Linked DNA regions of Drosophila melanogaster. The protein of the gene in region 1 binds, or shares a complex with, the protein of each later gene. Each region holds a gene or a part of one and is shown on either strand. Other genes may lie near its edges. The genes, in order: CCDC53, Strump, wash and FAM21.

The links.
Region 2: CCDC53 (region 1) and Strump share a complex: the UniProt entries of both Drosophila melanogaster proteins name them as parts of the WASH complex.
Region 3: CCDC53 (region 1) and wash share a complex: the UniProt entries of both Drosophila melanogaster proteins name them as parts of the WASH complex.
Region 4: CCDC53 (region 1) and FAM21 share a complex: the UniProt entries of both Drosophila melanogaster proteins name them as parts of the WASH complex.

The regions. Positions count from the first base shown.
Region 1 is NT_033779.5:8,038,418-8,044,230, reverse strand, and holds CCDC53 (Coiled-coil domain containing 53), read right to left. Parts: upstream 3,126-5,813; 5' UTR 3,083-3,125; coding exon 3,038-3,082; intron 2,979-3,037; coding exon 2,533-2,978; intron 2,473-2,532; coding exon 2,433-2,472; 3' UTR 2,352-2,432; downstream 1-2,351. Other genes in the region: Megf8 (multiple EGF like domains 8), read right to left, coding at 160-516; RpL36A (ribosomal protein L36A), read left to right, coding at 1,406-1,408, 1,618-1,791, 2,106-2,243. UniProt on the Drosophila melanogaster protein: Acts at least in part as component of the WASH complex which may regulate wash nucleation-promoting factor (NPF) activity and is required for its membrane targeting during endosomal sorting.
Region 2 is NT_037436.4:16,118,755-16,127,916, forward strand, and holds Strump (strumpellin), read left to right. Parts: upstream 1-3,247; 5' UTR 3,248-3,339; exon of another isoform or gene 3,340-3,391; 5' UTR 3,392-3,432; coding exon 3,433-3,551; intron 3,552-3,607; coding exon 3,608-3,710; intron 3,711-3,769; coding exon 3,770-6,597; intron 6,598-6,657; coding exon 6,658-7,029; intron 7,030-7,091; coding exon 7,092-7,245; 3' UTR 7,246-7,298; downstream 7,299-9,162. Other genes in the region: Taf4 (TBP-associated factor 4), read left to right, coding at 1-646, 704-877, 938-1,063, 1,160-1,318; Pgm1 (phosphoglucose mutase 1), read right to left, coding at 7,383-7,521, 7,588-8,806. UniProt on the Drosophila melanogaster protein: Acts at least in part as component of the WASH complex which may regulate wash nucleation-promoting factor (NPF) activity and is required for its membrane targeting during endosomal sorting.
Region 3 is NT_033778.4:12,177,519-12,184,336, forward strand, and holds wash (washout), read left to right. Parts: upstream 1-2,974; 5' UTR 2,975-3,022; intron 3,023-3,104; exon of another isoform or gene 3,105-3,107; 5' UTR 3,108-3,182; coding exon 3,183-4,682; 3' UTR 4,683-4,855; downstream 4,856-6,818. Other genes in the region: EndoG (endonuclease G), read right to left, coding at 23-955; CG8860 (uncharacterized protein), read right to left, coding at 2,069-2,275; CG13175 (uncharacterized protein), read left to right, coding at 5,278-5,703; small ribonucleoprotein particle protein SmF, read right to left, coding at 6,405-6,671. UniProt on the Drosophila melanogaster protein: Acts as a nucleation-promoting factor by activating the Arp2/3 complex to induce actin polymerization. Participates in both linear- and branched-actin networks.
Region 4 is NT_033778.4:20,620,076-20,629,898, forward strand, and holds FAM21 (family with sequence similarity 21), read left to right. Parts: upstream 1-3,471; 5' UTR 3,472-3,540; coding exon 3,541-3,642; intron 3,643-3,699; coding exon 3,700-3,894; intron 3,895-3,954; coding exon 3,955-4,094; intron 4,095-4,144; coding exon 4,145-8,117; 3' UTR 8,118-8,240; downstream 8,241-9,823. Other genes in the region: CG9945 (uncharacterized protein), read left to right, coding at 5-160, 363-469, 533-673; CG11180 (uncharacterized protein), read right to left, coding at 992-3,099, 3,156-3,228; Rcd6 (reduction in Cnn dots 6), read right to left, coding at 8,721-9,823. UniProt on the Drosophila melanogaster protein: Acts at least in part as component of the WASH complex which may regulate wash nucleation-promoting factor (NPF) activity and is required for its membrane targeting during endosomal sorting.

The DNA.
Region 1 (5,813 bases):
TAAAGATAATATTCAACAGATTATTTTGGAGCCTGTCTCATTGAAGGTCATGAATGGTAAAAATATTCCGGGTTTCTAATTGTGCAAGTTTTTGAATAACTTTATTCCACAAATAGATCCTATATATTTAACCACTCGTCAAGGCAAAACACAACTTACACTCCCGCTGCGCGCCACCAGTCGCTGGGGCTGGGTGCGTCCACTGAAGCTCCCCAGGAGCGTCGAGTTGAAGGAGTCGCCATCATAGACGTAAATGTAGTCGTAGGAGCACTCGGTGCCCATGCTGTGGAAGGTTAGCGTGATGTACTGGCTATCATTGCGCGCCTTGATGAGCCACTCGCAATGTGAGTCCTGCGTGTAGTTAAAGCCGGAGGGTCCATCGGAGATTTCGCCGTAGGGCTCCGTGAACACCTTCCGGCTGCGATCGCATGGCGCCGACGGCGATGTGGACGGGTGGGCCTGCTCTGTTTGCAGCACCAGCGTCCAGAATGTCAAGGTTGCTAGCAACGCGTACATTTTCTGCATTTTAATCGCTCACTTTTTATGCAAATTTTTGGCTATCTAACTGGTTGCCGTTTTGGCCGTTTAGATTTGCTCTAGCCAGCGCACGCTGGCTGCTGCCATTGCTCACGACTTGCCGCTGGGCCCGGGCCACCAGCGCATCCGGTTTCGGCTGCTGGAGATTCGCTATATTTCCAATTATTTTCCACAGAAAATTGTTGAAAATATTTCGATTTATTTTTTTTTTGTATCGGGCCCTATCGGTCTTCGATAACGACGTTGCTTGTCGCCGCCTATCGCTGCAAGTCGCGAGCAAAACAAAACATATGTTTCGCCCTCGATGGCAATGCCACTTTCACTTTTTGGTATTTTCTTAAAATCTGATTGATCTGGCAGCGCTCAGCATCAAGTGACCGTTAAGATATCGAAATATTATATATGAAATATATTATTTTGTCATTTTATTAGCATATTTCTGTGGAGATCGATGAAAAAACCAAGCATTCAGTTCCATGAACATTAAAAATTACTTGAAAATAATTAATGTGGGGCAAAAATGTATTATACGTAGGTTCGCAGATAAAGTTTCGTGACACTAAAAATACATAAAACAAACAAACATGGTATACCTAATTGATAAGGCGTTTACAAACTTCATTAACTAATAATAATAGTATTCTTCTGTACTAAGTTTCAATATATGCACATTCAAAACAAATGTAAAAACAATTGATTTTACTTCAAAAAGTAGAAAATAGTTTAAACAGTGCTTAAGAACTATACAAACATCGATATGCATATCAAGTCACAACAATGAAACGAAAACCTATCGATAGCGCATGGCTTGACGGCACGCTGCCATCGCTATGTGATTTCCTTCTTTTTTCGCCTTCACGAAATCAAGATGGTAAGCGTTTCCCGAAATCGTTGAACATCCGCAATTGTTATGCCCGAAATTAAGTGATTCCGCCAAAAGAGCGGGAATACCGAAATGATTGACCCAAGGAGTGGTCTATCGCGGATCGCGACGGCCAACAAGTGCGTTGCTGTTCGGCTTAAAAATTCGGTGTCGCTGCCCAAGGAATTTTGTACTAATGGGATTTGTGTGTTTTCCAGGTGAACGTACCGAAACAACGCCGCACCTTCTGCAAGAAGTGCAAGGTCCACAAGCTGCACAAGGTGACGCAGTACAAGAAGTCCAAGGAGCGCAAGGGAGCTCAGGGCAGGCGTCGTTACGACAGGAAACAGCAGGGTTTCGGAGGTCAGACCAAGCCCATCTTCAGGAAGAAGGTAAGTGCCCCCATTCGTCTAATGCTACCGGGATCGCTTGCCGCCGGATTGCCATCGACACTAATGGCGGCTAGATTGGAATCCCTGGAATGGCGCTTCGTAGAACTAAATCGCTGCGCTCGTTGAGCATTATGCTTTTTGGTGGGAAAAAACTGTGCCAGATCAAAACTGTTGTTGCACTGGTGCGGCCGTGAAGGCAACGTTGTGTGGCATCCATGCCCACAACGCCCCACCGGCAACTTCAGACAATCCAAATGAATTCATGACCACCATTTGTATGCCGCTTGCTAACTGGAGTTCTAATTCCATTTTAGGCCAAGACCACCAAGAAGATTGTGCTGCGTATGGAGTGCACCGAGTGCAAATACCGCAAGCAGACTCCCCTGAAGCGTTGCAAGCACTTCGAGCTGGGCGGTGACAAGAAGCGCAAGGGACAGATGATCCAGTTCTAGGCACCTTCTTTACACCATTAAAAATCCTTTTTTCGCTAACGAAGTGGTTTTATGTTGTTTTCGCGTCGCTGCACGGCGGCAAATAAAACAAAATAAACTTGTAGACGTAAGCTTTAAAAAATGTTTAATTGCAAGGTGTAGCAACATGTGCTATATCACAAGATCAGATCACGCTCTGCGCCAGGCAGCTCACTCTCGCTGGCCATCCGCCAGGATCAGATCGGGTGTGCTGCAATGGAAATGAGCTTGATGAGCTTTCAATTTGGCCAAACCTCTCCACGGAACTTACTCTAAAATACGCGGCTCCAGACCTTCGGATTGCATTTTCTGCTTAACCGCCGGTGCGGGCACACCCACTTGCACCATTTTGAAGAACTTTCTGTAACGTTGATCTTCACAGGCGCGCACACCAACCGATTCAGGCGGGAGTTCCGGCTCCGTAGGATTCTCGGTGGTCGGTGGTTCCGTGGTGTCCACCATGGATGCTTCTTCGTTGCGTTGCTGGTTTGATATCGCTGGCGCTTCGGTAGCCTCAGTCGCTACATGGTGCTCGGTGGGTATAGACGCCAGCTTGGCCTCCAGGATGATGAGGGCGGCCTCCGTCTTCTGCAGCTGCCGTTCCATCTCCACGAACTTCGTCTCACAGCCCAGGGCAAATTCATTTAGAAAGGTGCAGGTGCTGACGAGGAAATGGTTAACGAAGGCCAGGATGCGTTTCTGGTTCAGCGGCGGTATCTGGAGGAACAGAGTTGAGAGCTGCAGGTGCAGTTCACCCTTGAATATAAGTCCCATACCTGGGTCTTGTCCACATTGCCGGTGATTGCTGCAGTTGCATCCATTATTTTATTTTCACCAGCCGTCTTTTATTTTAGTACTTTTCTGGGTTGCCAGGCTGACTGACGATACTAAATATTGTTCGCTCAACATCAAGCTGATCCAAAAATTTGGTATTTCTCACGTAACTTAACACAGTTAACTTGGCGCCTAGTTTAAAAATGAAATAGAACTGAAGTTTCTTTCAAAAAACTTGTGTGCATATTTAAATGTTTTGAAATTTCATTTTTAAAGTGAAAAAAAACGAATAATATACATAAATACATAGTTATAGCTTAGAAACCCATTCAACAACAAATCCACCATTTTGTTTTAAATATTTTATTTATTCACTTTATTGTATCTTAACATGAAATGTGTGAATGTTATTTCTCCGAGTATTATGCACTTCTTCGTCAATTTATTATAAAAGTATCGTTCAGTTAATATGCATTTCCTTTGACATTATTATTTATATATGTATGTATAAACTTATGTGCTGGGTGTTCCATTAGGACCTGGGACCTTCTCACTATGCTCAAATCTACAATGAACTTTTATTTTGACTTAGTTAAATAATGCTTATCGTGCCCATCTCGGCGTCGCTTTCTGCGGCTTAAGTATTAGTTGGAATGCCAAATCGGATCCGCGTTTTATTTATTATTTGTATTTGTATTTGTTTGGAGAATTACATTACTTTTTGTTAGCAATTTTTTTTTTTTTGAGAATTTCATTGCTGATCCGAATTCTCGGTCTTTGTTGAAACAAAACGCATGCGTGCAGCTTGTGTTTGTCGGCAGTGGATTTGTAATGGTTTGTAGAAACGAAAATGCTTTCAATTCTGTGCGGTGTAGTTCGCAAAACTGAGTTAAGAAATCAAAAATGCTGCCAGCAGCGAGAACGGTTCGAAAATGAAAATGCCAAGTGAAAGTTATTAACTTTTGCCACCGTTGCAAACGAGAACCAGCTGGTCTACAACGTTCTCATCACTGAATCTGAATAGTTTGTGCGCTGTTTGTGAGAATTGTGAGAAATCAAAAGGCAGACGCAAGTCACAGGGCTTCTTTTTGTAAAACTTTATTTAAAATAAAAATACACGGTAATAAAAAATCAAGAATTTACAGTTAAAATTAGAAATCAATAGTTTTATGTATATATATATACATATATATATATATATATGTATATGTGAGTGGCTGCCCCCGATGGTCGTCCACAACTATTTTAATTATTACCATTATCATTCATCATCGGCTCATCAGAGTTTCGGATCACCGCGGTAATCCAAAAGGCGATTCGGATTCTCGATTGTAACAACTAAGGCGTAAATTAAAATACGTAATTTAAATAATAGAGGATTTGCTTGGTGTACACAGATCGCAATCGTTTTTGATTCTGATTCGTCGGTTTCGAATATCAAGTTTTTGGGTGTTTTTAAGGTTTGTGGAGAGTGTCGGTCGGTGAAAGGCTCACGTAAATGTAATTTGTAATAATAATATAATAATAATTGGTAATACTAAAAACTAATATTGAGTTGCTCGGCGTTCACGTTCAAGTCACATATCTAAATCTGTTCATTCATCGTGTTATTAATTTACTTGATTAAAATTACGAGTACGCATCCATGGTAAGCGAATCTATTTATATTCAACTACGAAATCCATTGGATCAGCGATTGGCGCCAACATTTTGTTTGTTTTGTTTGTTTGTAACTTTCTTTCATTCGTTAATACTAGGCATAAATTAAATAAATAGCTTAGCATACGTTTATAGCTTGCCTGCAGTTATTATTTATATCTCATCCTCACATGGTCGTGGTTAATCCATCAAGCATTGCGTACTCCCCTTGGTAATGACAATTGAAATTATATAAGCATTCTGCATGTACCAATTGTTAAATACAATTTTCGCGTGTGTGTGTGTGTTTTGACTTGCTACCTGCGTATATAAACCCGGCCGCCGTTCATCAAAGTCTCACCTCGACTGTCCTCTAATTAATGTTAATTTACAATTTTTTCTCGCTCTTTCGCTAATATGGGGTCGGGTTATATTGTTTGGTTATATGTATGTATATGCCCTTGCTTAGTCTACAGAATTTGATCGTCTACATCGTTTTAATCGTTACGTAAATGTTTCAATACACTTTCCTTCGCCAGCAGCGAAGGATACGTGTGTATCCTGGCACTTGCACAGCGAGAGTGCCTATGTCAGATGCTCCACATTCAAGATTTGCCATGGGCATAGAATAAGTTTCAATATATATATATGTGTGGTTTGTGTATGTATATAAAATGTACAGGAAGTCTGACTGATTTATATAGGCCGACTTGGTTAAGAACAATCGCTGTGCAAGTGCTATTAAAACTAGAACCGAAAAGAGGATCGATCTTGGGTTGATCCCGCCAACTGGTGGGCAAAATAAAGATCCACGACAAGATCAAACTTTTTCATTGCTACGTTGTTATTTTGAACAAATACATAATGTCCGTGGGTTGCACTTATTTGTGGTTATTTGCCGTATTATTATGCATTGCTTTAGAATTACGTTACTAGATTACGCGACTCTCGTCTGTTACATTTACTTGACTCTGTTTGCTCTGCTCGAAATGCCGTTTCTCATTTTGAATTTATTTAATTTTTTTTGTTTTGTTTGTGTGTTTTTTTTTTTTTTTTTTTAGCAATTATTTGTATGTTTATGTTGTGTTCTCTTTTCCCTTTCTTATTATTGTATGCATATAATTGGTTGTTGTTCTCGGT
Region 2 (9,162 bases), on another chromosome or scaffold:
CACAACGCTGCCCATACCATCGTTACCCACGGTCCACCTTCCCCCCGAAGCTCTTCGAGCCCGTGAGCAGATGCAAAATTCGCTGAACCACAACAGCAATCACTTCGATGCAAAACTGGTGGAGATCAAGGCGCCGTCGCTGCATCCGCCGCACATGGAGCGGATCAACGCATCTCTCACACCGATTGGAGCCAAGACGATGGCAAGGCCGCCGCCTGCGATCAACAAGGCGATAGGCAAAAAGAAACGCGACGCCATGGAAATGGACGCCAAATTGAACACATCGAGCGGAGGAGCGGCGTCCGCTGCGAACTCGTTTTTCCAGCAGAGCTCCATGTCCTCGATGTACGGTGACGATGATATCAACGATGTTGCCGCCATGGGAGGTGTTAACTTGGCGGAGGAGTCGCAGCGAATTCTCGGCTGTACCGAAAACATCGGCACGCAGATTCGATCCTGCAAAGATGAGGTATTTCTCAATCTCCCCTCGCTGCAAGCTAGAATACGGGCAATTACTTCGGAGGCGGGACTGGATGAGCCGTCGCAGGATGTGGCCGTTCTGATATCGCACGCCTGTCAGGAGCGCCTGAAGAACATCGTTGAGAAGTTGGCTGTGATAGCGGAGCACCGCATTGATGTCATCAAGGTTTGTTGGAAATGGTTTTATATTCAAATGAAAATATTGATTTCCTATTTCTTACAGTTGGATCCACGCTATGAGCCCGCCAAGGATGTGCGCGGTCAGATCAAGTTTCTCGAGGAGCTGGACAAGGCCGAGCAGAAGCGACACGAGGAACTGGAGCGTGAGATGCTGCTGCGGGCAGCCAAGTCACGGTCGAGGGTGGAAGATCCCGAGCAGGCCAAGATGAAGGCGAGGGTGTGTTCGCAATCGTCTTTCTCTGTAGCCGTTTACTTAAGTCTTTCTCTTGTTGTTTAGGCCAAGGAGATGCAACGCGCCGAAATGGAGGAGTTGCGTCAACGAGATGCCAATCTGACGGCGCTGCAGGCGATTGGACCTCGGAAAAAGCTGAAGCTAGACGGCGAAACAGTCAGTTCGGGAGCGGTATGTATGGTGCAATTATACAAAAAGATAGTGTCTAAAATTTAGGATAGTTGACTACCAGAACGGTTATTAATTAAGCTGTGTTTATCCAAAAAGGGTTCAAGTGGCGGCGGAGTGCTAAGCAGCTCGGGATCTGCGCCGACGACGTTACGGCCTCGCATAAAACGTGTGAACCTGCGCGACATGCTCTTCTACATGGAGCAAGAGCGGGAGTTCTGTCGCAGTTCCATGCTGTTCAAGACATACCTCAAGTGATCGCTGCTGTTGCCCATCAATCGCACCGTCTTCTCCTCGCCGATCCTCCTACTCCGTGGACTGTCGTGTTGTTGTTTTATACAGCTTTACGATTTCATCCACTTGCAATATATTTTAGCCTCAACTTTAAATGCGTCGCGTGTCCCCTGTTGTTGTTTCTTTTTAGTTAGGCGGCTCTATTTAATTTCTATTTTTACATTTATTTACATAAATCCTAAATTCTAATCGTATTTGATTTTAAGCCTAATTTAAAGCTCGTTTATTTTTCCAATAAATTCTCTGTAAAACTTAAACCAAACCAATCCAAAAACAAAACAAAACCAGAGTAAACGAAGAGAATAAAATAATAGAGAGGAAAGTAAAAGAAGGTAAAAGAGAGCGCGCAGTCAGCGGGCGTTTGATTTGTAATTTGTAACATAATAATGTTTGCATCAACTGCATTGACGGCCTTATCTAAACGATATAAACATAATTATTAATATTTAATTATTTAGCTTAGTTTGTTAAACGAAAACGAACCATAATTCCTAGATTTTAAGTAAAAAGCAAGGGCGCGTGAAGAGAAATCGAAACCGAATTACAGATAAAGGTTTTTAAAACCAACTAGATCGAAACAAGTTCAGCAACAGCAAAACAAAAGAACACATCAAAAAAAGAACCGAAAAATATCCATTTAAACATCCATTGAATTAGGTTTAGTTGTTTAAAAAAGATGTAATTTTTAATTACCCATAATGTATAAACGGAAATCAATCGTTAGGCAAGACCACAACAAACCCAACAAATTGTAAATACATTCTAGGCTACGGTTTTTCTAATAGATAACTAGGTAAAAACGCAAACGTAATTAACAAATTATCGATGGCAAGGAGCGATGCGAGCGCAGACAACTTGGCACACCGAAAAAATATGTTTTTATTAGTGGCGCTCGTTCATCCATTAAGAATGGCGATTCATTAGGCTCCATAGATCCATAAATCCCCTAATCCAATCTGAACTACACACAAAATAGACAAATTTTATACAATTAGCTCGATAAATCTTGTAAAATAGAGTCCCGTAAAAAAATTATAACAAATAAATTGACAACAATTGATGTAATTCAGTAAACCTAAGCAAAAAGTGAAACCATTCTAAGCAAATTCTTTGTGTGTAAAAATTAATATGATAAACAAAATGCAGATGCAACCGTAAACAGCGCATAGTTTGGTAGGCATATAACTGAATATATATATATTATTATTATTATGTTTTAACATTAAGCAAAAAAATAAAAGAAAAAATTGAGAAAACTTCAACTGAGCACGGAGAATTATTAGCTGGGAATATGCAGAATTTATTTTAGTGCGCAGTGTTTGCTTATGCATATTATTATTTTATGTCGTATGGAATATGTAACGGTATCTCAGTTAATTAGCTAGTTAAATCATTACAATTTATGTAGTTGAATTAATTAATTTTATTAATATTTTTATATTCATTTATTATGTTAATTAATCCTACTGAAACTTTGTGTAGCTCCCATAGAATGAAAATCTAACACAAAATAAATAGAACCAAATTCACGTTTGGATTCAACCAGAAACACATAACGAATTGGCAATTTTCTTAATGTCGTATTACAACTTGCTTTCTTTTTTAAATTTTAAAATTGAAATCGTGAATCTAAAGTCGGAAACCATTAGATCTTCCATCATTATTGCACTTTAATGCATCGAATAGAGTTATTAAGCCAATATTATAATTTTATTATTCAATACAATAGTAGTTTCATATCTCATTTTAATAAATTTAATAATTGTTATTAAATTATGTACCTCATAGGTTGTTATCATCAGTTTCTCACTTCAAATTTATGCGCCAACATTTCGAAGTTCATGGTAACTCTATAACAACAAAATAGTGTGACCGGACTTATGTAAGATTACTGCAGATAATACACTAGTGCAAAAAAGAATTGATATGACTAAATGAATAGACAATATAAACAAACAATAACATAATTCGTGGACTGATAAAAAGTATGTACAGCTTTAATTAATAATGTGATTATACAAATTAAGCTTTCTCCAGAGAGGCATTTGTTAGAATCACAGAAATCAAGGAAATGCATAATGAGTTTTCTGGATGACAATAATGCCTGTGGGCAGAATCTGCTGAATATAGTGTCGGTGGGTAATTCTATAATAGCAGAGATCCTGCGCCTCAAGGACTACGTGCCCAGTATTTATAGGTAACATAGATTAAAAACCTGCAATTAATGAATAATTGGTGACCACTCCTCCCCAGATTGGACAACAAAGCTGATAAGGCGAAATATGGCGAGCTTATTCTGGATTTCAGCTACTTCAAGATAGCCGAAGATCACGAGAGGAGGATCGAACAAAGTCCGGTAATTTGATGTTAATATACCCGAGACCACACCGTATTAAACACCCTGATTTCCTTCAGGAACTGACCGAACTCGATGATGAGGCACGTGCCCAGCTTCCGCTAATCACACGATTTTACCTGGCCTTCCAGAGCATCCATCACTATGCCTCCGATCTCCAGCAATATATCGAGGAATTGAACACTGGCTACTATATCCAGCAGACGCTGGAGACGGTACTTCAGGAGGAGGAGGGCCGCCAACTGCTCTGCGAATCCCTGTATCTCTTTGGTGTGATTCTCCTCATGGTCGATTTTCACATTCCGGGGGATGTGAGAGAACGTCTGCTGATCGCCTACTATCGGTATAGTGGAGGAGATGCAACGCCTAGCGGAGACGAGAGTAATATCCATGATGTTTGTCTCCTGCTCCGATCTACGGGCTATGTTCATCCGTCGATTGCCGCTAAAGTGCTCGGTTTGGGTGGCAAACAGGCAGGCGCTAGAGCTGCTAGCCTTGTGGTTCCCCGATACCCGGAGGCCTACTTCTCTCGCTTCCGTTTCGATGAGAATTTCGTGGATCTAGTGGTGGCTCGTCTGCGGTGCGATGATATATACAACCAACTGAACCTGTATCCACATCCTGCCCATCGCTCCACGGCTCTGTCTACTCAGGCGGCCATGCTGTATGTGTGCTTGTATTTCTGCCCGCAAGTTCTTCATTCCCAAGGCTCACAGATGCGCGAAATTGTGGACAAGTTCTTTTGCGACAACTGGACCATATCCGTGTACATGGGCATGACAGTGAATCTGGTGGATGCCTGGTTGGATTTCAAAGCCGCTCGATCTGCTATTGAAAATGTGATAAGTCCACCGGCAATCAAAGCACTCTGTCAGCAGCAAAAGGAGCAATTGGGCAAGATCACTCAAAAAACCCAGGAGATTGTTCGTGAAGGAGTTCTAAATGACAACTTTGTTTTGGAGCACGCCAACAAAATCATACACCTGATGAGGCAATCCAATGTCCTGCTCCGCTGGTTTTGCCTGCACACCTCAAGGGAAGTTTTCATCTTTGCTCACACAGCTACTTTGACGGGTCAAGTGCAAAAATGTGTGCTCCACGAACTACAATTCAATCGGAATACGCTGTATAACTTACTGCTTAACTGCAGCCAAATGGAGCTGAGCGTGAGGGAGTTCCTGGCAGAGATTCAGCAGACTAAGGAGGAGCGCTGGACGAAAAGCAGAGAGGAGGCCATGCAAAGGCTCAATGAGTTGAGCGAAGCCTTTGCCGGCTCCAGGCCTTTGTCCAAGATTGAACAGAATCCTCAGTTGCAGCAATGGTTTGGCGAAGTTGCTGGACGTCTCCAGAAACTGGAATTGAGCAGGCCCCAAAAGTCCGGAAGGCTGATTATTCAGGTGATGCAAGCACTGGACGATGTGCAGGAGTATCACAACCTTCATTCCAACATGCTGGTGAAGCAGCAACTACAGGAGACGCGAGACATGCTCAATCAAATGGCACAGCTAATAAACCTGAAGGAAGACATTGAGATTCACATCCAGATGATCACTGACTTCAGCTATGCTTGGCATCTACTGCAGTTTGACTTCACTCCTCCCATGCAGGAACACATCAAAAGACAGCCACAGGCGGTAATAGGTATACGAGCGGTCTTTCTCAAGTTGGCCAGCACCCTGGAGGTGCCGCTGATGCGGATCAATCAGGCCAGAAGCGAGGATCTGGTCTCTGTGTCAAACTATTACAGCACCGAGCTAGCAAACTTCCTGCGCCGCGTTCTGCAAATTGTTCCAGAGACCATGTTCAGTATTCTGGCTAAGATCATCTATCTCCTTACGAATGTTATCAAGGAGTTTCCCACTAAAGTGGAGAAGGAGCGTCTAAAGGACTATGCCCAGTTTGAGGAGCGGGCCAAGGTGGCTCAGCTTACAAACTCCATTGCTGTTTTTACGAAGGGAATTCTTATGATGAAAACAACTCTAGTGGGAGTAATCGAGCTGGATCCTAAACAACTATTGGAGGATGGGATACGCAAGGAGCTTGTAAATCATCTGGCAAATGCCTACAATCTGGGCCTAATATTTACGCCCGAGAAAGGCAAGACTCCTGTGCAGCTTCTTCAACAAAAACTGCAAGCTCTGGCGAAAACAATAGAGGGATATCGAAGATCCTTCGAATATATAGAGGACTACTTAAGAGTTCAGGGACTTCGAATCCTGCTGGAGGAATCGCAACGCATTATTAACTACAATGTGGAGAAGGAATGCAATGCCTTCCTCCGCAACAAAGTGCAGGAATTTCAATCGGAGCACCAGAGCCAGATCATACCCATTCCCAACTTTCCACCGCTGTTGGGAGATCCGTCTAACAACTTCATTGGCCGTCTGGCCCACGAAATTCTGCGGTGCACAGATCCCAAGCAAACTATTTTTCTGGATCTAAAAAGCACTTGGTATGAGAAGAAGGCTCCTCACCAGGAAGTTCTTGCCGGCTCTGGATTCTTTGAGATACTTAGAGAAGCCTTGGCTCCGGCAGGAATGGTGGGATTGGAGCGCCTCTACGCTCACATGTTGGCTGATGAGTTAAAGCGCAACTTGGAACGGTTACAGCGTAACCTGACCTCGGATCGTATGTGGGTGGATACGTTAGCGGCACTGACTCGGGAATTGGAGGCCCGGGACTTCCCAACTCCGGAGGTGTCCAAGCAGCCTTTGAAGTATTATCAAGCTTACACCCAACGATGGCTGAAAGTGTGGCCCACGCTGTTGGATTGGGTTTTGTGCATTGGACAGAAGCAGCTGCTCCGCAGAGAAATTGCAGGAGAGCTAAGCTTTAGCAGTAAATGTGATGCCAAGTTGCTGGAGAACACGGCGGACACCCTGAACAAGTAAGTCAAACTATAACATCCTAAAAATATTTATATATTTGCAATCTCTTCCGCAAACAGAGCCCTTTTACTAGAACTGTCTCTCAGCAAGGATCTCTGTGATGAAAAGGGTGTGGTCATGTTGACAGAACTGCAGGAAACCCTGCTCTATACGGGAAACTTTGAGCCCCTAGAGCAAGTCTTCCTTATCACAAAGAACACCCATAACATGGCCCTCTTTATGTTTCTTTTCACCATTGCCCATTTGGGTCGTATGCAGCATTCCACGATTACCGATTGTCTGTTGCCAAAATCAGCCAAAGATAACATTGATAATGTGCCTTTTATTGTGGGTCTAGTAACGATCTTGCAGCAGTTCCACAAGAATGTCAAGATGCTGTATATATCCTACATGAGTCAGTACGTGGTGACTGTATCGGAGGCTCAGTTACTGTAAGTACTTTAGTTACAAGATAATCCACGAATATCAGATGACATACACTTTTCTTTATTAGGGATAAAGAAATCCTGGGTCCCGAGGTGGTCACCGCCCTGCACTTTCTTCTAGCCTTTATACGCATTGCTCGTTTGCCACTCGGAGTTCTGGAGCAGCGCATTCCCAACATAATACTTAGCGAGTACGAGTATTTATCCACACTGCTAAAATGAAAACTAACCAACAGGTTTGGGCTACACAAACTTTAATAAATCCGAAACATAACAAGGAAATGCCTCGCTGAGGTACAAGAGGAGATTGTAGTTGGATGGGTTGGTAATCTCAGTGTTCCTTCGCTGACAGGAACTCTTTACGTGATAACCGTTGGAGCGTTGCGTCCAGTGAACTTGGGCAGCTGAGAGATCTCCAGGGCGATGTCGATCAAGGGTTTCAGCATCACGCTGGCCTGGCCCAAAACATTCTCCTTCTCATAGGAATCAATGTACAAGCTGAAAAGGAACAATTCATCTATTATTGAAAAGAATTGTTTGATATTAAATCTCATCGTGACTCACCGAACGGTTGCTCCCGAGCTTCCAGTTCCACTGAGGCGCACCACAATGCGGCTGCCATCCTCGAACACAATGCGCAGACCCTGTTTCGTGGCCACCGACTTGTCGACAGGATCTGTGTAGCTGAAGTTGTCGGCCTCCTTGACCTTGTAGGTTTTTCCGCCGCTGGAATAGCTCTTGCCGACGAACTCCGGAGCAGTTATGGTCTTCTCCATGGTGGCCACCATCTCGTTGCAAGGATCGGAAGCGCACTCCTCATAATCGTAGCGGGTGAAATAGTTGCGTCCATACACAGACCAGTGCTGCTTCAGGATGTCTTCGATGCCTTTACCCGTGTGCTGCATCACGGAGATCCAAGCGAGAACCGCCCAGATGCCATCCTTTTCGCGGATGTGATTGGAGCCAGTTCCGAAGCTCTCCTCTCCGCACAGACACAACCTTCCGGCGTCCATGAGATTACCGAAGTACTTCCATCCAGTGGGAACCTCAAACACTTCCTTGCCCAACTTTCTGCCCACCAAATCCACAGCGGATGCAGTTGGCATACTGCGGGCGAATCCTTGAACACCATTCTTTTGGAAGTACGGTATGGCCTCCAGGTAGTGGGCAATTACCGCCAGCGAGTCGCTGGGAGTTACGAAGAACGCCTTGCTGCCAATGATCATGTTGCGGTCACCATCTCCATCGAAGGCAGCTCCAATGTCATAGTCTCCCTGGGCGACAGTGTCAACCAGGTCCTTGGCGTATGTGAGATTTGGGTCAGGATGCAGACCACCAAAGTCGGGCAGTGGAGTGGTGTGGACCACCGATGATTCGGTGGCACCCAACCGGTTCAGGAAGATCTCGCGCACATATGAGCCAGTTACTCCGTTCATTGCATCGATGCGCATCTTCAGAGGCTTTCCAGTGGCTTTGCCACTTACGAAGTCCTTCAGCTTGGCGAAGTCGAAGATTTCCTCCATGTGGCGCACATAGTTGGCCACCGAATCGATCACCTCCACGGTAAAGGGCTTTCCGGCGATGTCGAACGAGGTTACACCAACCTTTGAGATGTCGATCTGCAGGTTGCGCACCAGCTTGTACTCCTTGATCTCGGTGGTGATCTTGTAGATGTGGTTGGTGAACGCATCCGGGGCAGGTCCTCCGTTCTCGCAGTTGAACTTGATGCCGAAATCATTCTCTGGACCACCGGGATTGTGGGATGCAGTCAAAACAATGCCGCCTATAAGGTTTAAAAAAGCATTTTTAAATCGTGTATATTTTTTAGTTGGGTGTGCCTAGGCATCTAAAACAATTTTATATTCCAAAGAGGCCACCTTTAATGTGAATAAACTGTTTGAGTAAGTACAACAAAAGCTTAGATTTAAATATTTCATATTATTAAGATAATAGAGATTTTGCAATATTGCTTCTATAATGCGAAATAATAATGTTAGCTTGACAGATGGTCTTTTGTTAGTATAAGATAGATATTAAAAGCAAATTTGTATATCAAATTCGCTTAAGTAATTACACCATACAATTTTATTAAAGGTTAGTCTGATTAGCGATTGCACGAGTCCCTAAATCAATTTTACC
Region 3 (6,818 bases), on another chromosome or scaffold:
TAAAACGAAACTAAGACATCGACTAGACTTTCTTGCCATTGATGGTGGTTAGCTGCTTGCGATTGATTTGATCGAAGAAGAGCAATCCCGCCGAGCGTTCCACGCTCTCTGGCGGCACCTGAAACACACTGATGGGAGTGTCGTTGCTGATCACCTGATTGGGCATCACGTACGACTCCATGTGGAGTTTGTGGTCCGCGGACTCGCCCACAATAACCTTGTAGAAGTGGGTGGGAACAGCCACGGTGTTGGCGCCGATGACCTCGTACTTGACATACGATTTCCCATCGTCCTCCTTGTGCGGTAGGTACAGTGGACCCGTACAGACGTACACATTGGAGTAGGTCTTGGTCAGTCTGCGCACGTGTGCCTCCAGCGTGTTCCAGGCATCCCGGTTGAAGCCCTGGCCCACCTGTGGCGCCATGTTCGATAGGTAGAAGGTTTCGTCGCAGTGCTTCTGGTGCAGTCGGTGATTTCCAGCGGCGGCCATGTGCCCGCGATCATAGCCCGATCGTCGGTAGTCCGTGTTCTGTGACCTGAAGAACGGATGGATGCTCTCGTCCTGCTTGAAATCGCACTTCGATCTGTCCACGGCATCGTTCTTCGCCACCGACTCTGCCGTAAGGTGCTCGAACACCCAGTGGGGCACCCGGTTCCTCCGATCGTAAGACAGCACGTAGTCCGAATGGGAGCGCACGTGATCGAGTCCGGGAAATCCATACTTCATGATCTGTCCGATCCGAGACGGAGTTGCCGTCAAGCTTACATTGTTCTCTTGGGCGGGAATCAAACTGGCAGCCGAAACAGTTCCAAAGGTGGGCAGACCAGGCAGCCGCGGAAGGCCACTTGTGGAGCCATTGTGCTGGCGTTCGCGTTCCACGTGGGTGCCCAGATAAAAGGCGCCCAGGGCGGTGGCACCCAAAGCTAATACGCCACCCACTCGAGGAGCACTCATTTTGGCAGTTTTATTTAAAAATCTGGACAAAAAGACCAGATAGCGACCGCTATTGCACAATTCAGGTACTTTAGTGTGACCACAGTTTAAAGTGGTCGAACGAACTACAGTGAAAGACATAAATATATGCACGGATTGCTAAATTTGCTTGGGAAAATAAGTAAGTATACTATGTATATTTCATTAATGTATTAATAACTTAAAAAGGCGACGTGTGAGCTTTAACCGTAGCCCAAGTCGCAAATGGTGGTACTTACCAATTCCATATAGATAGATGGGCTTCGTGAACAGCAAGATATCCGAGCTCGAATAACTCGTCGTGGCAGTTCAAAATTCCAGGGCTGGATATCCCCTCGTCTTATGTGCTCTAATACACACTCGGCGTGTAGCAGGTTGTAAGAAATTCGCGTTTAAAATCAAATAACTTAGTGGGCGCTGCCATGTTTTAAAATTTATTCGATAACCGATCCCCGACTTAAAAGGAAAAGTGTGACCATCAATTTATAAAATTTAGCTTATATTTTGTAAAAAAATTGTTGCTTCTTTGTTTAGGAATTTTTAAGAAAAAGCAATTGTGTCGCAGAACAAAACGATGGCTAAAACAGTAATTTTAAAAAGGCATACAACACATATAAAATTATTTTTAAGGTTAAAGAAAGATTTTTATAACAGAATTAAAATCTTCTAATTTTAAAGCAATATTAGGCGAACCCAAATACATGCCATTGTACAATGTAGAATTTAATGTTAAATCATCTCTATGTTAAAATAACAAAATATAAACATTGTCAATTGGAAGAACGATTCAAAATAAGCAACTCGACCTAGATGAATGAAATAGTACAATACATGCCATTTTGTTGCTGAATGATAAGCTAAGATTTTGTTGAATTTTGGCTTAGTTGCATTCGGAAATATATTTACAACATTTTGAGCACACCCTCCAAGCACCCAATTTATAACCAGACTTTCTTATCTCAAACCCAAGCCAAAGATATTACATTGTATTGTGTGTATAAAATCCGAAGAAGGGGCATTTATTTCGCTAAAGATGCGCGTGGAATCGTGAACTACATGTAATCTCTTTCCGGTCCGGGGGCCACCTGCCGCTTTCTAGGATCCCACGATGATGTTGTTAATGGGAATGTGAATCAGCTTGACGAAGAAGCCGATGAAGCCCATGATGGCGAAGCCCACGGCGGTGGCGATGGCGATTTTCTGGAACTCCTTGCGGTCGGGTTTTGTGCAGCGCTTCACCAGGCGGATTGAGTCCTTGGCGAAGGCGCGTCCGGGTTCGGCGAATTTGACAACCTTGTCCATTTTTGATTTGTGAGTATTTAACTAAGAATTACCAATGAACTGAATTGATATTTATTTTGCTGCCGTGTCGCTTCTTGCAGTGTTACCAAGTTCCTCAGCTCAAAACATACTAAAAATTAACGCCTTTCCTTTAGTTGTTAATAAATTTTTTTTTTGGTTGAAATATAAGTGTATTTGAATTATTTTAATTTATTTTGAGTTTTTCTTTAAATTGAACCCATTCAATTATTACTTTGAAGCAAATCATTTAATGAACAGTTTTTAACAATTGATTTGGGCACACTACCCTACCCTAGCGTCGATGGAGGAACGGTGGATTTTTGAACATATGGACGTTTTCTATTTATTTATTTTTTCGTCATTTGGAAGTGAATTCCAAATTCCGTGCTCCGGAATGGCGTGCTTATAGGCTTACATTTGCCTAATTTAGTAATGATCCTGAATAAATGATCCCCTGATTAAAAAAGTTCTCCTAACAGTGGGATGAGTTTGAAAGGTATTTAAAAATGCCGCCTTCTCTAGTAGAAGTACTACAGCCGATCCGTGTCCTTAACTGCTTTATTAACAGTAATAGTTTTGGGAGACACCGCAGTTTATCTGAGGGTTAGTTTATCTGAAGGTTAGTTTGTTTCCTGGTGGTTTGTTTATCTGGTTAGCTTATCTGGGGTCTAGTTTACCTGAATGATAATTTACGTGGGAGTTAGTGTAACTGAGGGTTCAGTTGACTGGTGTTTCGTTTAGCTAGGGGTTAGTTAATCTGAGGTTTCGTAATTTTAAAAGAAATCCATTTAATTATTACTTTGAACCAAATCATTTTTAACATCTTGTAAAGCTTTTAGAGTTGGTCACACTACCATGAACAGCAGTAAAATTGCAAATAAATATGTAATTATTTGGCGATAGAAAAATGGAGGAGTCACCTTACCTGCACAGCCCCTACCAGGTGGCCATTATAGCCACCGACCTGCACCACGAGGATACCATAATCCAAGCAGCCCAGTCCCTGGACTGTCTACACAAAACCATAAACTCGATTTTCGAGCGAATCGATGCCCGCTTGGCGAGAAATGGTTCAAAGGTTGAGGACATAAACAATCGTGTGAAGCGCGCTCAGGCAAAAATCGATGCGCTCGTTGGCTCCAAGCGGGCCATCCAGATCTTTGCACCCGCCCGCTTTCCGGCCAGCGACGTCCTGGCACCGCTGCCAGCCACCTTTCCACAGGTGGCAGCCAATCCCCTAATGGAGCAGCAAGTGGACCAGCTCCCGCAAGGGACGTACAGCAGTCACAGTGCCGCGGACCAGAAGCCGGATGATGCGGACATCTTTTTCCATGTACGTGGCGATCGGGAGCAGGAATCGCCACTGGTCGCCGAACGGAAGATAACCAATCGGACCGCTGGCCTGGGCATCCTGCCTGCGGGTGGAGTGCGCTCCGTACCCTCGCTCATGCGATTCAATACCAATGAGTTCGCCTACGGCGAGGATCTGAATGCCTGGAAGCGATCCCTACCGCCGCAAAATGCTCGACGCGTTGCCAGTCAGTCCACTCAACTCACGGGAGAAAAGCAGCTCGCTCCGGCACCTCATTCGCTGGCCCACGGCACCACCAAACTGGCCACTCCAGCTGGGGACCTGCGCTACAATCCTGCTGCTTTGGCTGCACCCGCCATTGATGTTCCGCTGGACCTGCCCGACCTACCGGGCATAGCGAATGATCTGCAATATGAGCCAGTGGAGGAGCAAACACCAATAGCGCCTTCCCAGCAGTTCGGTGATTTACCAGAGCTGCCGGATTTGGGCCTCGAGGAGCAGGATATAATAGTGCAAGCCATCGCGGCACAGACGCACATTCCGGGACCGGTGCGTAGGAAGAGTGTGGGACAATGTCCTTCGCCAGTTACGGCGGCACCACCGCCTCCTCCTCCGCCACCACCGCCGCCTCCACCTCCTCCACCAGCGCAGACGAGCGCAATTCCATCACCGCCACCCTTTCCCACCAAAGGAGCTGTGAAACCGCTCTCCCCGTCGTTAGCAACACCTCTTAACATGCCGCAGCCGCCTCCAGCTACTGAAGATCCGCGATCTGAGCTTATGGCCGCCATAAGAAACGCCGGTGGAGTGCATGGCGGTCGTCTGCGGTCGCCTGCGGCTGCGCCGCTCGACGTGGTGGACAACAGTCGCTCCAAGGCGGGAGGCGCTGTCACGGGGGATTTGATGGCAGACCTGCATAACAAGCTAATGCTGCGACGCAAGGGAATTTCTGGGAGCCAGAATCCCGTGGAGGCCACTGCTGGCAATCCCCTGATGCAGCAGCTCTCCCGCGTCATACCGCCGCCGGTGCAGCCCCGCAAGGGATCTAAGTCGAGTGACGAACACTCCGAGGACGACGAGGATGGGTGGAACTAGTGAATATTTAGCTTTAGTACCGGTTTAAGTGCCTTGGCTGGCTTAAAGCACTAGCAACCTAGGTTCTCTAGCTTAAAGCATACAAATTTCTAAAACGAATTCCAAATTCTGTGCCCAAGCGAGCATGCCAAATTAGGTCAAAGTCAACCAGTTGAATAAAACTACATATTAGCAGAAATGTGTGTAATTTCTTATTGAGAACATTGGCTAACTTTAATTGATAAAATTACAGGACAATGAAACATTTTGTGATGCTAAATGAAATAAAACAATTCTTTATACTGACTAAAATAAACTCGATATTAAATTATAATAAAACACTAAATTCTAGTTTTAGATAACAGCTATTTTCCTATTTGAAATAAACGAATTTCCCTGTTAAATCCTTAACAGCGCTGTTGTGTTGCTCTCTGCCAGTGCTGTAAAATGCCGCAGTGGAATCACATTTCGGGTAAAAACAAATTGAAATATCCACCGAATTTAAATATTAAAGTTAGAGAAGCTGCCAAATATCTGGAGTTACAATCAGGGACAAGGACAAGGACTACTACACTAGAGGAGAGCTTTTACAAGCAATCCGGTGAAACCACATATAATGACAAGTCCGTCGCGGGATATAAACGATCTTTTTGACGATATTGTCCTGACCGAGGAGAAGGAGGCACGTTTGGGCTACGAGGAGGGACTGAAGGACGGCCAGGAGCAGGGCAACGAAGAGGGCTATAAATTGGGCTACGCCCAGGGAGTATCCCTAGGCGAGGAGCTCGGCAAGATTCTGGGCCAGGTGGTGGCCCAGCAGCAGCTGAAACACACGGACAAGGTGCGTCGCAGCTTGGAACAGTTGCGTTCGCTCATCGAGGAGTTTCCCCGCACCAACGATCCGCAGGCGGACATAGTGGGTGCTGTGCAGGACATTCGCTCCTCCCATCGTCGCCTTCGCGCCCAGCTGGGATCCAAAAAAACGCCTGGTGCAGCGCCTGCAGAGACCAATTCTGTCGAGCACAAGGACTACAGCTTCTAGCCTTATAGCACCATGTCCAAGGTGGGAGTTGTGCAGTTGCAGAGGCGTCTGGATGGCTTACTGGCCTTCCTCAATCCGCACTGGGATTTTGTCAATTGCCACATGGTGAACTACTTGACGGACCAGCACTGGGACGGCTTTTTATCCGAAACGCTGAAAAGTGAGATCGCCGGCAAGGAAGATGTGGCTCTGGCCATAGAAGACCTATTTTGGAAAACTGATGAATCAGAAAGGTTTCCGGCATGGCGAGAATTCCTAGGCAAGAGCAAACAAGAACGCCTGTCGCTTCAGAGGGTCAGGGGAACTCCACGCAGCTAAGCATTCGGGAGTTTATGAGCGCCAAAAAGTGCCATGAGGTAAGTAAACCAACCATTTTAAATGAGAGTATTTTAGGAATTGATTAATCTCTCCGATTAGGTGGATCTAACAGCCGTTCTCGTGGACCAGCTTGTGAAGAACTCCGGTCAAGATTGCTTCATTGTAGACGCGGGCGATGGCAAAGGGTATTTATCCTCGCGCTTGGCGCTCCAGTATGGTCACCGCGTGCTCGGCATCGATGCGAACGCGGCAAACACCGAGAACGCATTGAATAGGAATCGCAAATTGCAGGTAGGCCGGGCTTACAAAATAAAGTTAGCTTTATTTCATTACGTTTGTAGACTTAGAAGTAAGGTGTGGGTGTATGTAGGTGAATCCATTGGCTAGTCGCGCATTTCGCCCTCCTCGTCGTCGTCCTCCATGCCCTTGATATACAGCACGTTGTTGCAGCGGATGAGCACCTCGCCAAGATTACCAGTCACGGAGCCCTCGATCACTTCCTCCGTGTTCGCCAGCTGCATGTTCATGTAGCCGTCGACGGAGACCAGGAAGCCCTTGTACTCCTGGCCCCACTTCAGCTTCACCAGCACCGGTTTTCCCGTCAGGCCGTTCAGGAAGGGCTTGGGGTTAATGGGCATACCAGCCGACATTCTGTTTATTTGATTTTTCCTGCCTTTTTTATAAAATATTACAACAAGCGTGCCGAAAATCGCCGGCTTTTCGCGTTTTTTTTGTGTAGTGTGACCACAGCTGCGCTGTGTAAACATACCAGAACAAGAAGAAGAATAGCATAGAAG
Region 4 (9,823 bases), on another chromosome or scaffold:
GCAGTTTACAATCCGCATAAGCCACTGGAAGGAGACTCCAGCATAATGACCTACCGCGGTCACCGAGTTACCAAAACCCTGTTGCGGGCGAAGTTCTCACCCATGGAGCAGACAGGGCAACGCTACATTTACACAGGCTGTGCCACCGGACGTATTATAAGTGAGTTCACACCTTTATCTTGCAGTATTTCTCTGATTTTCTTTCACAAGGCTATCTAAAATACATTTTCTAGCCAGTAAGTTCGCCAAGTATTTTTAGAAATTCTCTATCCATCAAAAATTTGGTTGTGAAACCAAAGGCCATTTCTGTGTTTCCGTTGATAAACATATTATGTTTTCAAAATAATCCAATTTTCTTACAGTTTATGATGTACTTACTGGTAAGATTCAAGAGGCTATTGAAGGACATAGGACTGTGATAAGAGATCTGGACTGGCATCCGGATCGCTCAGAAATCGTGTCTGGCTCGGTAAGCATCGAAATATGAGTAATATTCCTCTGAATAATAATGCACACTCAACTGCCTACGCAGTGGGACACCCATGTTCACCTGAACAACTTCAGCCGCAGCAACGCCAATCGTCCGGTAAAGCGATCACATAGCTCGGATCATGACAAAAAGCCCCTGAGAAGATCACGACGTTTGGCGAATCGAAATGTTACACCGGACTAGTTGTAAGGTTTAGAGTATAAGCTAGTAAGGTCCCCTTTGATATTACATTTCGTTACATTCATTCATAGTGGCTTGCCTAAGCGACGCACGAGAATATTCACCACAGTCGGGCCGGCTGGGATAATTGGTTCTATTAAATAAGACTGAAGAATATGTCACTCACTTGAAATGTATAGTTCAGTTTAATTAGTTAGCGTGTTATACAAAACAGTACATTAAAATGTAAACCATGAAGCTTACCAACTACCTACTTAAGTTGTTTATGTACAAAAACAATCATAATAAGAATCACGTTGAAATATATTTCGTTTGCTCGATCTAAATTCCTTGAAAGGCGACTCTCTTCTTGACCGCTCGTATGCTAGTTCTTTGCACCCTTACCGGATACTTGCTATGCTGTTTGCTTTTAAAATGCTCAACGGCTTTGTTTTTCCAAAGGTTGCGAATGCGCGTTTCATCGTAAGGACAGTCCACCACATTTAGCTCGACGTTTTCGCTGATTCCGTAGCCCACGATCTCGCCCAGCGACGAATTGTGAAACGCACTCATGTCGAACAATTGAAATTGGTCTGCACAGAATTTAGAGATATTAAAATGATTGAATGATTTGAGTTTTTCTTGGATCTCTTCCAGGGATAAGAGGTCCTTAGGCAGGTCTTCATCGGCTGACTGAACGCTTTTATTGCCGGAATTATTCTTGTCAGCACTTACGTCGTTCCTATCTTCGCCTCCTGTGTCCTTTCGATTATCGACAGCCGCCTCCACGGCGAGCGCAAATGAGGTGATCTCCAGTTTAGTCGAGGGCTCCGCAGACGATTTTAATTTGGATTTCTTCTTCGATTTCTTTTCAGTAGCTTCCGAGGCGGGAGGTGTTTCTTCTAAATCTTTTTCATCATTGTCCTTACGCTTCTCTTCCTTGGATTTCTTTTTCTTCTTAGACGGAGCTTCGGCTGTTAAATCTATGGTAATTTCTTCCTGAATTTGAGTGGTTTCTTGACTGTCCTTAGATTTACTTTTATTTTTAGTTCTATTTTCATTCGAAGTATGCGATTCATTATTTCTGTGTAAGTCGTCATCATCGATTACAATTACTTCGTCGGATTTCTTAGACTTTTTCTTTTTTTTCGCAGCTGGTTCTTCTATCGAATCTTCTGCAATCTCCTTATTTTTATCTGACTTTCTTTTCTTTTTTTGGTCACTCTCTTCTGTTTGTATCGACACTTCTGCTGATTCCTCCTCTTTTTTGGACTTTTTCTTTTTGGAGGAAGTCCTTTCACTTTCCTCAGTGATTTCCGCCATCTCTACGCAGTTGTTGTCCGTCTTCTCGGTTTCATCGACAGACGATCGCTTAGATTTCTTCTTTTTCTTAAGTTTGGGAACGTCCTGCTCGATTTCTTCCACAGCAGTTGGTTGCTCGCTAGTCCTTTCTTTGCTTTTAACTAATTTTTCCTCAACAAAGTTGTTCTCCGACTGCTCAATTTCATCGAGAGACGATCCCTTCGATTTCTTCTTTTTCTTAAGCTTGGGAGCGTCCTGCTCGATTTCTTCCACAGCAGTGGGTTGCTCGTCAGTCCTTTCTTCGCTTTCAACTAATTTTTCTTCATCAAGGGATGATCGCTTTGATTTCTTCTTTTTCTTAGGCATGGAAGCAACCTGCTCTGGTTCTTCCTCTTTAGTTGGTGGCTCGTCTGCCCTCTCCTTGTCTTTCTTTTTTTTCTTTTTCTTGGAAGTCACTTCATCATTATCTGCTGAAATCTGTTCAAACTTTTCAGCATGACCATTGGTCTGTGCCTCGTTGTTGTCTTCAACTTGGGAGCCTTTCTTTAGTCTGTTTTTCATGGCTTCCATTTTCTGCTTGAAATAATCAGTGGTCGACAGGCCCGTGACAATTGTCTGCACGCCAGCGAAGTTGGGGTTTGGCTCCTCGGGTTGGACAGCCAGCACGGGTTCTGGATATCTCTCGACGTCCTCAGTTGCCTTCTTGCCGAATATATTGGCTAGATCCTTTTCGCTGTACAGAGCCAAGTCCTTGCCGCGTGTGAACTTCTTATAGTGGACGCGTGCCCTGCTCTGCTTCGACCGCTCCTCCAGCGACATTCCACTGGTGTTCTCCTTGAGTTTCTTCTTAGACGGCTCCTCCGGTTCAATGGCTTTGAAGCCAAAGCCCATAGGTCTGGCCTCCTCTTCGGACTCCGGCTCTTTGTCTATGCCGCCGCTATCTTCCCCATTTAGCGACTTAAGCAGCCCATTGAAGCCATCCTCGTGTACAGTCCACTGATCATCGCGCTGCTCGAAACCCAATCCTTCTGCGTCATTTTTAAAGCGAATGCGCACAAAATCCTTTTCGCCATTCAGATTGGCGCCCAGGCCACTGCCTTTCGTCCAGCCCATTTTCTCCAGCATTTTGGTACCGAAGCGATTTTCATCTGTTAAAGTTTAAGAATTTACGATTTACCAGTCACATTTGGAGTTTAATGCTCACCTTCATAGAGAGCCTTGCCGCGCGGACACAAGTTGTACTTTTTGCGCCGACGTGGTTCAGCCAGCATAGCCATTTTAGTCTATAATTATTTATAATCTACTTCGTTTTAAATGTAAATTGCGGATAACTAACAAAGATACAATTCGTAAATTGCGAACAACCCAACACGTGCTATCAAATATCGATAGCAAGTTTAAACAAGATATATCGATAGCGATTGTCGAAACAGCTGCTCAGCAGGCTTAGGGATGAGCGTTGGCTGTGCGCTGATAACAGGTGATTAACTATCGCTCATCTCTATTTGGGTGTCATTACTAAGTTTGTTGTTGTTGCTCTTAATTAGTTGTTATTATTTTCTGACTTGCGAGCTTGCAGTCGACTGATAATGGATATAAGCGCGGATGTGGATCAGATAATAGCCCAGGCTCCGGACTGGACCTTCGCGGGCGACTGTGCTCTGCTGGCGCTGATGAAGCGCATTTCCCAGGTTAAATTCACATACGTGCATAGATAACAAGCCAATTTGATAAAATTTTTGCAACAGAATCTGGAAGAAAGGGGCGAAAGGACCAGCCGCAATCTGCGAGACTTTGAGACGAGCGTGAAGCAAGTGGATATAGCGCTGAACAATGCCACTACCAGCCTGCGATCCCTGCAGTTTGGAAATCAGTTCGTGGAGTATCGGGTGGAGGAAGTGGATGACGCAGATTTGGCCATGCCCGAAGAGAAGAAAAAGAAGGTGCAATAAGCGATGGAATTTTGCAGGCTGCTGTGTTTACAGATCTTAATATGCTTGCAGCCAGAGCTGCCGCTCAAGAGTTCCGAGGAATTGGCAAAGGAGTTTCTGGAAAACAACCTTCGTATGTTCCGCAAAAACTACGAGCCGGTGACCATAGAAGTGCCCGATTCGGATGATGAGGATGGCCCCGTCCACTCAACGTAAGTGACTACACTACGATTCCGATCCATACTAACTCCACTTTCCACAGAACCGTATTCCGTGCTAAGAATCCCTATGATGCGATACCTTTGCCCTATATTATTGGTACCAAAGAGTGGCAGGAACACAAGTATGCCGGGTTGTATGACAGTAAGGAGAATAGTGAAGATGACAGATCCGAGGAATTCTCCTCAAGCTCATCGGACGAAAAGGAACCCGAGACCAAAAAAATAGCAACGCCAGCGAACAAATTAGAAGAACAGCATCTGTCTGACTCCTCTTCCCTAGCCTCGTTTGCCAGGGAACCGGCAATCGTGTCGCCAGTCATTAACCCTGCTGTTCAGGTAGCAGAGCCTGTCATCAGAACACAACCGCGTCCAATTATAAACAGTCAAAGGAATCCACATGAGAGGGACATGTTTGCTGCCCTCCGGCAATCGCCGCCTAGCGACGACCCGCCATCCACATCGTCATCGCCTACATCTTCACCAGCCTTTAGGAATCCATCAAGTCGCCTTCCAATCGTATCTACTGCATCGCTTAGTTCCAGTAGCAGTAGTCCTGCCCAACAACCTCCTCGACTCTTCGACGAAGCTGTTTCAACCCAAACTCCGAAGGAGGCTGAGATCAAGCCAAGCCAAACAAAGCGCATGCCAGTTAATCTTTTTAACGAAGATGAGTTTAAATCCTTCATGTCCGAAATCGTGGACAAAGTCCAGTCAAAAACACCCAGCAGCTCCGTCTCCCCAGCAACGACAATTTCAACAAAAGAACCACCCAAAACTAAAAAACCCGTGGAAGAATATCCAAAGCCAGGGCCGCCAAAGCAGATTGTTGAGCAGACAGTTCCAAAACGTGTAAACCTCTTCGACGACAGTCCTCCATTGAGTCCAACTCCGAGGTCAGAGCCTGTTTTTAATAATACTAAAGCAACGGGTGCAATACCAAAACGGAGTCCAGTTGTAGTGGCCAATAATGATGAAGATAACTCGCTTTTTGGTAGTTCTCCTGCCATGCCAAAGGAAAATCCTTCCAAAAAGCCACCTAAACCGGTAACCAAATCTCTATTCGATGATGACTTGGAGGACGACGACTTCTTGAGCTCCTTTACGCCCAAAGCAAAGCCACCAGAACAAAAACTGCTCTCAAAACCAAAGCCCTCCTTATTTGATGATGATGATTTGGATATCGATGATATATTTACGAAACCATCTGCTCAACCGAAAAAGCTATCTGAAAGAGTAGCTGGAAAGACAAGTTTGTTTGAAGACGATGATCAAGATGATGTCACTGATTTGTTTGGTTCGAAAAAGGCAAAGGTAATTCCAAAGGAGACGTCTTCGGGAGTTTCGCCCAACAAAAATGTTGAAACACCTGTAGCTTCAAAGAAAAGTCTCTTTGATGATATTGAAGATGAGGATTTGTTTGGAACCCCAAAGGCTAAGAACTTAATTAGAAGTGAACCAGATAATGATCCTGAAGCAGTTGGAGAAGATAAGAAACAAAGTGAGATTGCAGAACAGAAATCCAAGAATATAGAAACTGGAGAAAAGCAGCATCAAGTAATAGCAGAAAATGCATCTGTGCCTATTCTCAGAGATTCACCTCCTCCCATGGAAGTTACGGAACAAAAGTCTGATGATAAAGAATGGGAGGCGGTTAAGGATGATACATCAGCAGCAAATATTACCAAATCTAAAGATTTGTTCAGTGAAGACTTAACCGACGATGAGCTATTCTCTAGTACTTCAAATAATATGGCTGAGCCAAAAAGTGCTAATGAAACTAATGAATTTAACAAACCAATTGAAAAATATACTTCGCAAACTGAGGAAAATGTATCCCCAGTGAATCCTCCTACAAAACTATCTATCAAACCAACTGATTTGTTTAACGAAGATTTTAGCGATGATGATACATTTTTGAGTGCATCTATGTCCAAGAATGAGCCATTAGTTGGTACAGAAAACGAAGATATTAAAAAACCATCTGAGGTGCAGCTGGTGAAAGAGATTAAAGCAGAAGAATTGCCACAGCAACTGCCAGAGAACAAAATATATGAAATAACAGCTGTCGTTGAAAAGGATGAACTGGTGCCCGAAATGTTAAGTAAGCCTCAAATAGATGAACCCGTTTCGGAAACTCCACCACCAGACGATTATCAAAGCAACGTAGATCCCATTATATCAATGGTGGCTGATGTCACCAATAAAACATCAGTGGATACACTTACCCCGCGAAAGCCGGCGGATTTGGCTGCTGCGCAGCAAATCATGCAAAATTACTCGAATCTCTTTTCCGACGAACCGCCGGATGACAGTGAATTCTTTCAAACGCTTGGCAGCAGCGGTCTCAGCAGCCTAAGTGCCTCCAAAATCTTTGACAACGAGCACGACTTCTTCGAACCCGCTCTGCCAAACATTCCCAGTGCGACAAAGCCATCTCCAGTGACGCCGGGGGATCAACCTTCTGTGTCGTCTGACTACGGTGCCATGTGCTTGTTTAGTGATGTGCCACCCGAAGATAACGATCATGCAGGCGAAGAAGTGCAGAAGGAAGCTGAACCTCAGAAGGACGAACTAGCGTCAACCACCCGAATACACACAATCTTCTACGATGATTTCAGTGAGACTGCAAGGGCAGGAGCAGTGCAGCCAGCGCCCAAACGCTTCCCTTTCGATGACGAGCCACCGCCAGCTGATGAAACTGATCGTAGTGAAGTTAAGGAGACGCCTGAATTGCAGAAACCCACTTCGCCCGTTAAGAAGCTGAAAATGCCTAATATTAACATCAATGTACATGCCCTTCTTCCGGGTTCTGGTAGCGTGCCAAAGCTGATCAGGAAACAAGAATCATCGAGTTCCGAGAGAGATGAACCTCAAGCGACAGTTCAGACTGAGGCTGAGGCACCAAGTTCTGGACAAAACACTGTTTCTTCTGCAGACGGTGTCCTGCAGCATGTGAACAAATCTCGCGCTCGTGGACCTGCCAAAAGGCGACCATCTACCAGAAGAGGAAGAAAGGAAAACTATGCCAAAAGCTTATTGGATGCTGGGCAAAATGAAGGCCCAACAGCTTCGACTAGAGATAGCCCAGAAGTTGAACACTCTGAGCGAAGTTCCATTAAGGCACCCTCTCCTCAGTATGTTAAACCTGAAAAGCTGTTTTCAACCCCAGCCCAGCAAATTCAGCCGCAGCTCCAAAGACCGCCGCCATCTAACACTGGTGGCTCATTTCTGGACAGCCCCGATGAGGATGATTCCTTTTTTAATTCCGTCCCGACAAAAACAGTTGAGGGAAAGCAGGGTACTGATCCGCCGAAGTCATATCGCTCGTTTTTGGACAGCCCTGATGCAGATGATAAGCTTTTCAGTGATCTTGAAAATAACAAGGCGGGTATCAATGTAGTTCCAGTAGAAAAGAAGCCGCCAAAGATGGCAAACTCATTTTTGGCCAGCCCAGATGAAGATGATTTCCTATTTGATTCTGTAAAAACAAATGCAACTACTACCGCGCAAAAAGCATTTGCAGCAGAAATCATGAATGCTTTTCAAAAAGTCACAACTGCTCCTCCGAAACCATCGAATGCCAAGGAGGCTGCTAAACCCAAGTCACAGGCTGCGCCGAAACTGTTTGATGATAGCGACGACGATGATGATGATCTGTTTGCCAGAGCTCCTAGTATCCAAACCGCCAGCAAGCCCGTCCAAGCTAAACAGCCCCCCAAACCAGCGGCGACTTCTCTTTTCAGCAGCGATGATGAGGAAGCCGAAGTGCCTGTAAAGAGTGCTCCTGCTAAGAAGTTGCCAGTGAAACCAAGCAAAAGTCTCTTTAGCGACGACGACGACGATGATGACCTGTTCGGAGGAAGCTCCACGTCCAAAGCAGCTGCTGCCAAAAAGACCAAACCCGCGGCCAGGACAGCAAGTAAACCACCTGCCAGTAAAACCACCACGCCCACTGCTACCATTCCATCAAACTCCGGTGATAATCCATTGGCCGATCTTCTTGATTTCAAGTGAGAAAACAGTTACGCCTTTTATTACAAGTATGTACACTTTTTGATCTGTGGATGGTTAGACTGTCGATCAGAGTATTGTTATTCGTATTCCTATTAACTATAATAAACAATGAATGTCAATGTTCATTTGTGTTCGATTCTTAGAACTAGACTTGGGCAATTTTCATACAGTGCCTCTCTTATTGGGGGGGTATGCTTTTTGATATTTGTTTGTTTTAGAAATATCTATTTATATTTTTGAGTACGTCTGATATTTCGTGATATTTACTATTACGATTACTTTTATTTGCATATAAAATTATATCCCCATGGAGTCTCATATTTAGTACACTTTTATTTGCAAATAGGTCGTGTTATTCAGTAAAGCAAATAAAACTGAATGCAGACCCATTTAAGCTACAAATTGACTGGCGCATAAACGCGCTATACGATTCTCGCAGTGTAACGTTAGTCTACGAACTGAAACTGAGTTAGTTTGTGGCTCTTTGGTCGTTATTCCGAGGAATCTCATTCTAGATCGAGCATATCCTACAACTAGTGAGCTTAACCTAAACGCTGACTGATGATCGATTGGGATCCGGTTTCCAGAACCAAAAAAACGGACTCAAAGAGCCACATCGCGGTACTTCCGGTAATCGTCGGACTCGTTGCCCAGCGACAACTTGCTGTTGGCCGTGATGTACGGATTGGTGTAGTTGGCATAGCCAAAGCCCCCGTAATACTGCATCTGCTGGCTGTGCGTGGAGCCGCGTCGCTGCATCGGCTGGGCCAGCACGGTGCCGGCGAATCCGCCAGTGGAGCTGCAATTGGATGGCCTGCGGTAAATGCCGCCAGCCTGCTGGTGGTGCAGCTGTTGCTGCTGCTGCTGGTGAAGCAGCATGGCCAGGTAATACTGCTGCTGCTGCGTGTAGTTCTGGAGTAGATTGTTCCCGTAGGCGGTCAGATCATTCTGCACCTTGCTGATCCCGTCAAGGTTCTCCAGGGATACGCAATTCCGGGACAGTTTACCCGGTGGTGGCTGCTTGTGTGTGCCGCGTGGACGATGGTGGCTCCTCTGCTGTGCCGGTGGCGGTGTCAACTGCTTGGGCTCAATGGAGCAGTAGATGGGATCGTTGCTGGTGGAACCGATCAGCGAAGGCGGCGATGGTCGGTGCGAGTCGTGGAGATTGTTCTTCAAATCGTCGATGGTGATGTTGAAGTACTTGGCGTTTTTATCCTCCGTATCGAGCACATGTCGTGGATTGTACATGCCGGGCAGAGTGCAGCGCAGATCCATCAGCGACTGGGCGCGATGACCACCACCTGCTCCGCCTGTTCCGCCGCGCTGCATCAACGTGGCATTGTTGAACTGCTGTGCCAATGCGGGTGCAAACATGCTGGCGTTGAATTCGTTCTGCGAGCCAAATGCTTGACTGCCTCCACACTGGTTGTTCATGCCCAGTCCCATTCCTGGCCCTAGTGGCAACTTGGAAGCTGTTTCATCGCACAGCTGGTAGCCGGCATTCTCGAATCCACTTAGCCGCTGGCTGGATCGCCGGGAATCTGCCTTTGTAATGGGCACACTGGGCGCTGGAGTCTGCAGGGAAAGTCTGGTGGCCAATCCTTGCAGCTGACTCAACACCTGAGTCTCCCGTCGCCACCTGATGCCCGTGGGAATCACACAGATCAGCGCGAAGCAGTTGATGATGAGGCGAATCAGGTAGGAGG